Linked DNA regions of Arabidopsis thaliana. The gene in region 2 interacts genetically with the main gene of each other region. Each region holds a gene or a part of one and is shown on either strand. Other genes may lie near its edges. The genes, in order: STI and PIR121.

Region 1 (7,486 bases), on a different chromosome or scaffold from region 2:
AGGCTTAAAAATATGGCCAAATTATTATTATTATATATATATATATATATATTTATTATTTTTTTTGAACGGAAAAAAGCCAGAACTGTAGTCATATACATATATCTGAATATAGCGTTTAAAAAATAATTGTGTTATCATTGTATGACACTCAAAATTTTCATTTTTTGCCAATTTTCTTTTTAGGGTACATTGATAACATAAGATCAATAAAAATATATTATGGCATCAGTTAGGTAACATACAGTATATAAACAAAAGCCACATGTTGAAAATACGTAAATAAGTATGCAACAACACTATATCGTGATAAGAACTAATATTCAACAACACTACTTTATTATCGTAGCAAAGTATGATAATCATAAACATTTATTTTCACACAGTAACTATTTTTTTAAAGATAACATCATAAAAGTCAACATTATATTAAATATAGTTATAACATAATGTATATTCTTTTTTATTTATTGTACTGTAAATTTATTCAACAACCAAAAAACTTCCTTTTATGAATATGAAAAGAATTTGAGAAGCTTTGAAATGGTAATCTTTATATTCTACAATAAATCTTTATATTCTACTATAAAAAAATATTTTCACTGATGATCAGATGATGCATCAAACTTTTTTTTTTTTTTTTCCTTTTGCAGAACTCAATATACTGATATTTCAAATCTGAAAAATACGACCAATTTTTTTTTATTTTTTTTAAACGAAAAAGTGAGAATTGTAGAATTGTAGTGATATAGTGAAGATCGGATTTTAAAATAATTATATCATTATACGATATTTAGACAAATCACTTTTTTTTTTGCAAATGTTCTTTTAAGTTTACATCTAAATTTGAAGATATAAACTCGATAAAAATATATTATGGCATTAATAAAGTAACATATTTAAACATAACGCACATGTTGAAAACACGAATGTAAGTATTCACCAACACAATATAATATCCTCCAAAATGCGATTCAACATTTTTCTGCCAAATACGATTTCACATTTGTTTTAATAAAACATGATTTCATATTTTTCCACGAAAACATGATTCCGTGGTTTTTCCACTAAAAATATGATATTAATCATAACTATTTATGTCACTAAATATTATTCAATGGTAATAATTATTGATTAATTATTCTATTTAATTAATTAATTATTTTATTTTCAGGAATCAACTCATTTAACCATTAAACCATCAAATAATTGGATTAATGAATTGACTCAATCCGTTCAACAAATGAATTGAATCAACTCATAAACCATTTCAGCCTAAACTTGGATTATGGATTGGTTTGAATGAGTTTATCCATTTTGACATCTCTAACAATACATATCTACATATGAACTAATATTCAACAACACTATTTATTCTCATAGTAATGATAATCTTAAATGTTCATTTCCATACCAAACTATTAAGAAAAGAAAAACAGTATAAAATTCAACATTATTCCTATAATAAAGATAGTTATATTTTTTTTTTTGCAAAATAAGAAATATAGTTATTTTGTTTTGTGAAATTAATAAATATAGTTATCACATAATGTCTGTCCTTTTTTCTTTATTCCTGATAATGTAAAATTTGTTCAACAAAAAAAATACACTTCCTTACGAAATAGAGATGTAACGTCTATAAGTCTGCAAAGAATTACCTTAATGTATAGTTCTTTTCATTAAGGTAAGCATTCTATTCTACCATATACAAATATTCCCATTGATAATTCACTAATCTTTTCTCTATTAGTATTCATCATGATGTTTATTTTATTTTTTTGACTAAATTTGTTAGTATTTTTTTGAGAAAAAAAGAAAGAAAAAACTAAGTGTGACGAGACACGAAAACACTAGACAAGGAGGGGCTTTGACGAGACCCGAACAAACAAATGTGAATTTAAAAAAACCCATTAAAATAATTAAAAATAATGGAAATTTAAAAATAGAAAATAATAGTGTCTCTCGCTTTCCTTCATGCGTTCTCTCGCAGTCGCAGGCGACTATCAAGTTTCAGAACTCGAGATTCATCATTCTCTGTTCCACTTCCGGCGATGTATTATAATCCCTAGACCTTAGTTCCGGCGAACTCTCGAAGAACAAACAAGTATATATTATTATTTTCTTCTTAGTGTTTCGTGCTGTTTCCACGATTCCTTCGTTTTATCTTGGATCTACAGTTTTACATTCTTCTGTTTTTCTTCACTTTCATTGTTTCCACTGCGTTGTTCTGATTAGGTATTGCACAGGTTTTGAAATGTCAGTGAAAACGCGAAGCTGAGAGAGGAGAAGGAAGAAATCGAAGGAAGCTGATTCAAATTTAGGAAGAAGAAAAAATGTCAGGTTCGAGAGTTTCGGATCTGAGTAAATTGCATCTGAAGAAGGAGCTGACTCAAATCAGAAAAGCTGGCCGTGTTTTACGCGATCCAGGTACTACTTCCTCCTGGAAATCTCCTCTCGATTCGTCAAGATCCGTCGCGCTTTTGGAGACTCCGGCGAGCAGAAACGGTGGCAGTTCGAGTCAGTTTCCGATTCGAGGAGAGAGTAGTACTAATCGTCGTGGGAAAGAGAAGAAGGTGTTTTTGTATAACTGGAAGACTCAGAAATCTTCTAGTGAGAAAAGTGGATTAGCTAAGAATGGTAAGGAAGAAGAGGAAGAAGAAGAAGATGCTTCTTCGTGGACGCAAGCTAGTGTTAATGATGATGATGATGTGAGTGATGCGAGGAATGGTGGTGATTCGTATCGTAGAGAAATACAATCAGCTTCGATGGGTTTTAGGTGTAGAGATACGAATCTAGCGTCACAAGGTGTGTCAAAGATGAGGAAGAGTAATGTTGGTAGTTGTAAGAAGAAGAGTAAGAAAAAAATTAGCTCTTCTCGTTTGGATTGTTTGTCAAAGTATCAACCTAGAGATGACATTGTTGCTAGAAATTGTAATGCTGGATCAGATGACACAGAGGAGGAATTGAGTAATTCAGAGGATTTGAGGAAGGTCACTGGTGCGTCTCCTTTGCTTTTGAAGCTTAAGCAGAAGAACTGGTCACGTTCTTCGTCAAGATTGTTGAGAGCTAATAATAGAAAAGAGGATTCTTCATGTACTTATAATAGTACACCGGCTTTATCCACTAGTTCGTACAATATGTATGCTGTTCGTAATCCCAGCACTGTTGGATCTTGGGATGGTACCACGACTTCGGTGAATGATGGTGATGATGAGTTGGATGATAACTTGGATTTACCAGGGAGGCAAGGATGTGGTATTCCGTGTTATTGGACGAAGAAGGCGATGAAACATAGAGGCGGATGCAGAAGTTGTTGCTCTCCATCGTTTTCGGATACTTTGAGAAGAACCGGAAGTAGCATTTTGTGTGGGAGTCAATCTGTGTATCGTAGACATAATAGACATTCTTCTGGAGGGTATAGTAAACAAAAAATTGCTTGTAGAAGTGCACAAGGTGTTTTACCTTTACTCAGTTACGGTGGTGATGGTAGAGGAGGGTCTTCTTTAGGAACCGGGCTTAGTGATGATGAGCTTTCTACCAATTATGGAGAGCTTGATTTAGAGGCTCAGAGTAGATTAGACGGGAGGAGGTGGTCTACTAGTTATAGGAGTCAAGATGGTTTGGAGGCTGTAGCGTTAGATGGAGAAGAAGAAGAAGGAAGTACACCGGAAACAATCCGAAGCTTCAGCCAAAAGTACAGACCAATGTTTTTTGAGGAATTGATTGGACAAAGTATAGTGGTTCAATCGTTAATGAACGCTGTTAAAAGGAGTAGGATCGCTCCTGTTTATCTTTTCCAGGGTCCTAGAGGAACTGGTAAAACATCAACCGCAAGGATTTTTTCAGCCGCCCTGAATTGTGTGGCCACTGAAGAAATGAAGCCTTGTGGGTACTGTAAAGAGTGCAATGATTTCATGTCTGGGAAAAGTAAGGATTTTTGGGAACTTGATGGAGCTAATAAGAAGGGAGCTGATAAGGTTAGGTACCTTTTAAAAAACCTACCGACGATACTTCCACGAAATTCCTCAATGTACAAGGTTTTTGTGATAGACGAGTGTCATTTGCTGCCATCGAAGACGTGGCTGTCTTTTCTTAAGTTTCTTGAAAACCCTCTGCAGAAAGTTGTCTTCATATTTATAACTACTGACCTTGAAAATGTTCCCCGGACCATTCAGTCAAGGTGCCAGAAGTTTCTCTTTGACAAACTCAAAGATTCTGACATAGTAGTGAGACTAAAGAAAATTGCTTCAGACGAAAATCTTGATGTAGACTTGCATGCGTTGGACCTGATTGCTATGAACGCGGATGGCTCACTTCGAGATGCTGAAACTATGTTGGAGCAGCTGAGTTTGCTGGGAAAACGCATCACCACAGCTTTAGTAAACGAGCTAGTAAGTTTTTCTAGTTCTTTCTGTAACTGTGCACTGAAAAAAAGTAAAATTTATTAAAGTTAAAAATGTGGCATTATGTGTTTGTTCAGGTTGGTGTTGTTTCAGATGAAAAATTGTTGGAACTCTTGGAATTAGCATTGTCTTCTGACACAGCAGAGACTGTTAAGCGAGCTAGAGAGTTGTTGGACCTTGGAGCTGACCCAATAGTCTTGATGTCTCAACTCGCCAGTCTTATTATGGATATCATTGCTGGTACATACAAGGTCGTAGATGAAAAATACAGCAACGCCTTCTTTGACGGAAGAAACTGTGAGTTCCCAGCAAAGTATTTACATATTGGTCATATGTGCTAAAAAAGTAGTTTAGTGAGGCGTTATGATCTGGTAGCTTGTTGAGATCATTGCCCGTTTCATATTTTCTAACACCCTTAAGCTAATATATCCTGTAAGAGCAATTTTACTCCCTACGATGAGTCATAAACCACTTGGTTTGATTTTCGAAAATTCTTGCTTCGTTTTTGTAGTGACTGAAGCAGATATGGAGGGATTAAAGCATGCTTTGAAACTTCTTTCTGAGGCTGAGAAGCAGCTGAGAGTTTCTAATGACCGTTCAACATGGTTCACAGCGACTTTGCTTCAGCTTGGGTCAATGCCTTCTCCTGGCACCACACATACAGGCAGTAGTAGAAGGCAAAGCTCTAGAGCAACTGACGATGACCCAGCAAGCGTTTCAAGGGAAGTGATGGCTTACAAACAGAGAATAGGAGGACTTCACTTTAGTAAGTCGGCATCTCCAGCTTCGGTTATAAAAAGGAACGGGAATCATTCCCATGAAGCGAAACCATTCTCCAGGGTTATCGATAATAACTGCTATAAATCCTCCTCATCTAGCCAAATGATAGAGAGCGAAGGTTCCATTGCCTCACATGAAAATAGCATCGCAAGCACCATGATGCTTAATCAAAGAAGTTCAGAGAAACTTAACGATATATGGAGAAAATGTATTGAAAGATGTCACTCAAAGACACTGAGGCAGCTGCTCTATACTCATGGGAAACTTATATCTATCAGTGAAGTTGAGGGTAAAAAGCCTAAAAGTTTCTTCTTTTCTCACTTTTTTGGTTTTCTCCTTTCCAAAGATTCTAATAAAATGAACATGACATGATTTGCAGGTATTCTCGTTGCTTATATCGCGTTTGGAGAAAACGATATCAAACTGAGAGCTGAAAGGTTTCTAAGCAGTATCACAAACTCGATTGAAATGGTACTAAGGCGAAGCGTAGAGGTCAGGATAATTCTCTTGCCTGAAACCGAGTTACTCGTTGTCCCTCACCAAACCCGGAAACCAGAAATGACCAACAAAAGTGGGCATCTAAATAACATCGCTGGTTTAAATGCCGAAACAGATGTTGAAGTTGGTAGCAGCGTGGAAAGCAGATCAAAACTCCCGATGCAAAGGATAGAATCAATCATCAGAGAACAAAGATTAGAAACCGCTTGGTTACAAACCGCTGATAAAGACACACCTGGATCGATAATACGGGTAAAACCCGAAAGGAATCAGATTCTACCTCAAGAAGACACTTATCGCCAAACTAACGTAGCTTCTGCTATTTCTTCTTCTGGCCTAACCACTCACCAATGGGTAGATGAGCTAAACAATGAAGTTAAGCTTTTGAAAATCGGCGACAATGGTGAGCTTCAGGAGAATCTAACCGGTACAAGAGGACAGCATTGTCCTCTTTCCCCAAGCTTACTTCATGATACTAACTTCGGAAACAACAAAGACAATCTGTAAGTTCCTCACTCTGATCCTTTTCGATACAAAACCGAAAAGAAAAAACAAATAAGATCTTTATAATCAACGTATTGTCGTAATGATGTCATGTTTGGCTTTGGTTGTGTAGAGGAGGATACGAATCAGGATCAGGAAGAGTTGGTTGTAATATATTATTTTGTTGGAACACAAAAAAGACTCAGAGACGAAGCAAGGTTTGTGCTAATAACTCGAATCTGTTCCTCCTTTTCGATGTTTTCTTTGTCTCATTTGTTTTTCATTTGCGGATTTGATTAGTCGAAACAGGTCAAGGGAACTCCTGTTCGTTCGCGGAGAAATCGGAAGAGTCGGTTCTCTCTGTTTAATGGATGTGCTAAGCCAAGGAAAGCAGAAGGTAACATTAGAAGATGAAACTAAGTTCTTTAGTCATGAAAAACAAAATTGTTCCCTCAAGCTCTAATTTATCATCTGTTCTTCCACTTCCACATAGTTTTCCCTTAATTATGTTTGATAATGATATGTCAAAGGACAGTTTTAATATATTCACTGTAAAGTTCCTATCCATTTTTGTTATCTATCTTATAAAAACTTCAAAAATGTTACTGTGAAATAATCGACGAATTGGTTAACCTTGCACATTAGTTTATATTTTTCAATTTTTTTGTGTTGCATTTGTTGGAAAAATAAATAATATTTATTATTTGTGATTTACCTTTTTCAGTTATTGTAATTTTTAGTTTCATATTTACTTGGTTTATGACACATATTGAAACTATTGAAACAAATCAAAATTTCTATTGTTAAACTCTTTTCAAGTCTTAAAAAATATTAAAATTTTAAAATGAACAAAAAGGTTATGTAAGTTTTGTTTCACCTAACTTAAGCGGGGAGATGAAAAGTTGAAAAGTTAGTAAATGTAATAGACCAAAGGGTTTGTCGCGGAGAATAAATTATAAAAGAAAACAAACTATAATTTTGATATTTATAAATATATTTTTTGGAACAAATATTTATATTTATAATATTTTATGTAATTTATTTTCTATATATATCATCCAAAAATTTAGTGGAGTATATTTTAAAAAAAAAAAAATCAAAACTATTTAATACTTGGAATTTCAACAAATATTATATTACTCTATGTTATATAACCTTAAATCGGTTTGGACCTTCCAGTTTTACGTAAATCAAGTTAATAATGTAAACTAGGAAAATTAAAATTTAGATAAAGAATAGCTGAGATCAAACTGTCTCAGATTTTGTTTTTGTTTTTGATTTATTTTAGTAATTAACGAATCATCACGATATAGTAGTGATAA
Region 2 (5,223 bases):
AGCTCCAGGGATAGAGATAGCTTGAGCACCTGATTCATGGATGAAGCAAATCGGATTGTGAAATCGTCATGCTCAGCACGGAGAGCTCCAATGTGATTGACTATCAAATAGTGCCTCTGATATGTAAAATATGTTAAGGCTTGCAATTTTCAAAGCATGTGTACGGTTAACAATAATCCAGATAATAGTTAAAATAGGCAAGTAACAGTGAAAATATTAAAGGATATTCTAGCGCTTCACGTGGAGGGAGCTCATGAGGTGCTGGAAGAGTCAGAAGGCGAGTCTGTGATGAAAACTTTTGAAAGTATACCGACAATTCTTTCAAAATTGCAGCAGGAGAAAGATGGAGATCTGGAAACGCAGGAATGACAGGATCATTCTGATAGCCGAAAAACACACAACAAATATGACAATTAGCGACTTGGAAACAAGGCTTTGCGGTATATTGGTTGTGAATGCGAAAACAGGTATAACATGAATCTCAATACCTTGAAAATGTTTATCAATCTGTTGAGTTTTACCCTCTTGTATAAAGCCTCGGTATCTTTCTCAGATGGTGTTGCTAAGACAACAAGAACAGGTAGAACCCGGAGAAGAATATACCGCTCAGGAAAAAGTAGTGCAAAATCCAACTCCAGAGACTCCACGATGAAGACTATGAGAACTTGGAGAATATCTTCCACACTGAATTTACTAAGGAATCCAAAAGCTTGCAATATAGTCAAATGGCACAAGGGACTTGAGCAGCATGCATATCTCAGATAGACAAACCCATAATAATGTCTTTAACAGCCACACGATGGTGATAAATGTCTGGAAGAAAGGATACTTGTTTACACGGAACATCTCAACGTGCAGGTTGAGTAAAATAGCCCATCTTGTGCTCAGGAAGATCTGCATACATAAGAACTCACATTTTCATTTACGACAAACCACAGGGGAAGGCATTATCAAATGATTGCATAAACAAGCCATGCAAACACCTGCAAGTCGTCTAACTCTTCTCTCATTGTATCTGTATCTTGCCACTGCGCACTGACTTGAGTGAATGTTCTGAAAAGAGTGAAACTATCTTAAGAACATAAACTAAAAAAAAAAGCTTCTAGGAAACTAATTCAACTCTTAAATAGAGCTTTAGTAGCTGAAAGGATTAGTAACAAACATCGATCTACCTACATTCAAGTGTCCTATTTGCAGAAAATATAGATAGGAAAGATAAAAGTATTATATCTTTCACCTCTTATACCAAGAGAAATCATTAGGAATGCTAGCTTTAGCATTTTTAAGATGATCCAGCTGAACCAAGACGTCAAGCAACTTTAGCATTGACCTATATTAAGTAAAATCACAGTTAAACTATATACACGAGGAAAGTTAATCATCCAAGGATCTAATACAAAACACAAAATAAGAGTTATAACCCACCAAAGATGTGTGACTGTGGGACCATTGATCCGCCGTTCAGGTCTGGAAAACCGCTGCATGTCAGCAGCTAACTGCACAGACAGAGAATATACGCACATTATTTCTGATACAGGAATTTATATAAAACGAGTTGGACGAGGAAGGATATACACCGCACTTTAGCTGAAGCCGACGATTGCCATCTTTGAATTTCGCGTAAACGGCTCATTTCTAAGTCCAAAACTTGATATGTTTCTAGATACAAATCCGCTTGACTATGCTTCATAGATTCGGGAAGCTGCATGTATATCATTAATAAAGAAAGTTATGTGTGTTATGGAAGAAATATACACAACAACACCCAGCAAGAAGTACTGTATTTGATATTATTTTCAGTAATTTCTATCATTCGCTATTATTTATACAGAGAACTTTGTTGTTGCTTTTATTTTTGCATTATAACTGCATTATACTTTGTAGTTCAAAAAAGAGTCTCGTACAGTTGCTACGAGATTTCGAATACCATGAAGAACTAACGCATAGCATAATTCTCAAAGCTACATTTTATCAGATAAAATGTCTAAAGGTAGATATGCAATGGAGACAAGGAGTGTAGTGATAGATTTCACAAGGACCTGAGGCAGTGCTTTGACACAACTTCTATATGTGTATAGAATTGACGCCATCTCTTTTCCTTCTTGTATAAGTGTATTCTGCATATATACAATTGGTTGAAAACTTACTTGAAGTATTCAAATATAACACGATTAACACAACATAACCGTAAAAATATCAAATCGTAATTTAATCAGTCTTTCTAAGATGAGGCAAATGAAGAAGAATAGCCATATACCAGCTGGTTAAGAGCTTTTGTGTCTTCTGATAGAGACAACCGGTATGCAGCGACGTCACTATATTCTACAGAATAGTAATAAAAAAAAAAACATCTTGATTATTTGGATTTTATGGTAAAAGAGTGACAAGAGAACAATGAAGCATACCGATGGGACTATCGGTTGCTGCTCTTTCAGCTGAAACCATCACAGCCGGTCCTTGGACTTCTGGTTGCTCATCCTATAACCAAAATTCAAAATGCTTCAAGAAAATGTACTAGAGTGACTTCAAATTTTTCAAGAAGCTACTTAAATCTTCAACATTTCGTTGAAACTTATTTTACTGCTAACTTAGGCAAAGATCCACAGGTGATTAAACAATATATGTGATAATTTTACACGAAAAGGATTTAACAAGAAATAGAAACAATAATTTCATATCCTTTCTAGAAGAAAATTTTGAAATATGAACTCCGGAAAGAAAATTTGTAGTCAAAAGGATCCAAAGACCCACAATTTCTAAATTTTACCAAAATCTAGAATATCGAAGTTACCTCTAAGGAGAATGTGGAAAGAGCTGCGATTGCTTCCTCTACAGGAACCGCCATTGAGTCACCTGGAAAGATCAGACGAAGCAATTAGCAACATTGGGCGACTAAAGGATAAAGCTTTCAACTTTAAGGCTCTTACCCAACAACAATGGAGAGGAGAGGAGAGCTGCTACTACTTCAAGTCAATTGATTCGCCTTTCTTCTGATTCTTTACGGACAGAGATCGATAAATTCGCTACTACTCTGTCCGAACCAAATATTTCGCAAAGTTGGAAGCTTTCTTTTTCTATTTGTTTTTCTGTAACAAAAAAAAAATGTTTCTTTTTGGGTCCTCGTTTGTATTTTCACCTTTCAGAATTTTTCTTTAGTACATATTTGTTCAATCCGATTAAAGCTTTGAGAAGAAGCATTACATTTGTGTCTTTACTATGAAGCAAACTTGATGACAGCTAAATCATTATTTACTGATTCCTTTATCCTCAACCATTTCTTATTTTGGGAAAATACATAAGAGTAATACCAGTAACAAAACAAAATAGATATAAATACAATTTTACAGTGAACAACTACTGAACATAAAATAAGTTACTTTGTAGAATCAGTAACAACTTTTAAGGTTTAACCGGAGCCTTAAACCAATCCGGATAAGAACCAGCAGGTGTTGGTGCTATCGGTGTGAGCATGTAAACCGTTCACGGTTAAGTGTTAGTAGCCTAATGGAAAGGACATGCCGTCTAAGTCTAACCAGAAATTTTTGTTGTAAAAACATATGAATTGAGAATGAAACTCTAGAAAAAGCGAAAACTGTCTTGGATTCAAAATAAAGTACTTTCTTTAGCTACAAAAATAGGGAATACAATAAAATGGAGACGAAGATGATTAGAAGAAGAAGAAGAAGAAGAAAGAGTAAATTATTCATCCAATTGTTTCAAAAGCCTGAAGAGACCAGCTGCTTCTCGAACCCGAGAAAACTCAATGCAGAAAGCTTGAACTTCTATGAATAGATCCTTCACTGTTACATTTTTTACCCAAAAAAAACATATATCACCCACAATTGTACATCATACTAATAGACTATAAAAGCTTCCTCTGTGAATGTATCTAGTGATCTTTCTGTGTTATTAGCAAAGCAAAACGCCTAATTTGATAGCAATCAGTCAGAAACAGAGAATGCATACCGTTGATGATCTTGTTACGAATTAAGCTTTGCAAGAAGACGCAAACAAGCCGTACAAGCCTATTCTGCATGTATTTGTCTTGCTGCTACAGATCGAAAACAATATATCACTATACCGTTAACAAAACAACTACATTGAAATCAACAAATCCGAGAATCATATACACAAAGCACATAATGCAAAGCACAAGCAGAAGTTTTTTCACACAAGATTATAGGATGGCGTTATGGATACTCATAGAAAGCTTTGTTTTAAGTACCTAACGGGAAATCAAAAGGACGCTTTGTTTTAATACCTTAGCGTTCTCACAAGACGATATGCAATTAGTGATGTACATCCGTATGAAGTCCTTGGGAAGTTCAACTGCAGTTGTGAGCCTATTCACAACTTCCATTGAGTGCAGGCTCATGTCCATATTTCCTAGAGCTTCATAATAGCTGAAGAAGCATTCTTAGATTCCCACTTTAAAAGTTATAATTTTGGTCGAAAGTAAATGGTGGAACCAATAAGGTGATGACTTACTCATTAATCTCTGTGGAGTTATTCAACTTGGTGAGAATTTCAACTGCTATCTGAGGATTGTGCTCTACTAATTGCTGAGAATAAGAAACTAGATCACATGAAAAAAAGAAAAAAGAAAAAAACCACCTGCCAGAAAATGAATCACATACCGGCAGCTTCCGTGGAGTTATTCCGCAGTGAAAGACAAGCTTTGGGTCATTTGCCAATTCTGTAATGATGTCCTGGCCAGTAAATAAATAAAACAAGTTATTTCAATCACTCAAAAGATCCAGGTTTTCTAAATTCATCAGCTATACGGGCAAGGCTGATGAAATAAAACATCACAATCACTATTTATCTATTGCACGGTTATTTTCCATAAACTCTTACTGCAGTCAATTCCTTCTTAATATCCTAGATCTTTAAATCCAATGAGAAAGGAAATACTAGAGTGATAGCACGAGCACGACTTCTCTCTCAAAACTACTGCCATACAATGGCTGCCTTTACAACCTTTAAAATTTGTGCATATGTAGTTACTGTCCCATTGCTATGTTAACTTGCTTATAAGTGTTAGAGTAAGATAGGTAATAAAATGGTCAATACTTGTATGATTTTATGCGCATATCAAGAATTAACGAGCGATAACATACCTCTTGCTCCGTAGGTGAAAGTGTCACCTTTAAACCCTTAACAAGCAAGTCTCTAACTGTTGCACCACTGCTAGTATCAGCACACATTTTATCGTCCCAAACA

The links.
Region 1: changes in PIR121 (region 2) and STI impair growth when combined (synthetic growth defect), as found in Arabidopsis thaliana (one study listed by BioGRID).

What each region holds. Positions count from the first base shown.
Region 1 is NC_003071.7:658,760-666,245, forward strand, and holds STI (AAA-type ATPase family protein), read left to right. Parts: upstream 1-1,895; 5' UTR 1,896-2,104; intron 2,105-2,235; exon of another isoform or gene 2,236-2,246; 5' UTR 2,247-2,333; coding exon 2,334-4,391; intron 4,392-4,480; coding exon 4,481-4,700; intron 4,701-4,914; coding exon 4,915-5,472; intron 5,473-5,562; coding exon 5,563-6,184; intron 6,185-6,297; coding exon 6,298-6,382; intron 6,383-6,464; coding exon 6,465-6,578; 3' UTR 6,579-6,876; downstream 6,877-7,486. UniProt on the Arabidopsis thaliana protein: Acts as a key regulator of trichome branching through an endoreduplication-independent pathway.
Region 2 is NC_003076.8:6,101,939-6,107,161, forward strand, and holds the start of PIR121 (transcription activator), read right to left. Parts: upstream 3,043-5,223; 5' UTR 2,928-3,042; intron 2,854-2,927; 5' UTR 2,846-2,853; coding exon 2,792-2,845; intron 2,479-2,791; coding exon 2,406-2,478; intron 2,323-2,405; coding exon 2,258-2,322; intron 2,118-2,257; coding exon 2,040-2,117; intron 1,703-2,039; coding exon 1,583-1,702; intron 1,497-1,582; coding exon 1,426-1,496; intron 1,331-1,425; coding exon 1,238-1,330; intron 1,054-1,237; coding exon 984-1,053; intron 895-983; coding exon 830-894; intron 685-829; coding exon 489-684; intron 380-488; coding exon 228-379; intron 124-227; coding exon 30-123; intron 1-29. Other genes in the region: AT5G18420 (CCR4-NOT transcription complex subunit), read right to left, coding at 3,700-3,800, 3,967-4,051, 4,262-4,403, 4,489-4,562, 4,638-4,709, 5,121-5,223. UniProt on the Arabidopsis thaliana protein: Involved in regulation of actin and microtubule organization. Part of a WAVE complex that activates the ARP2/3 complex. Interacts with the active form of RHO-family GTPases.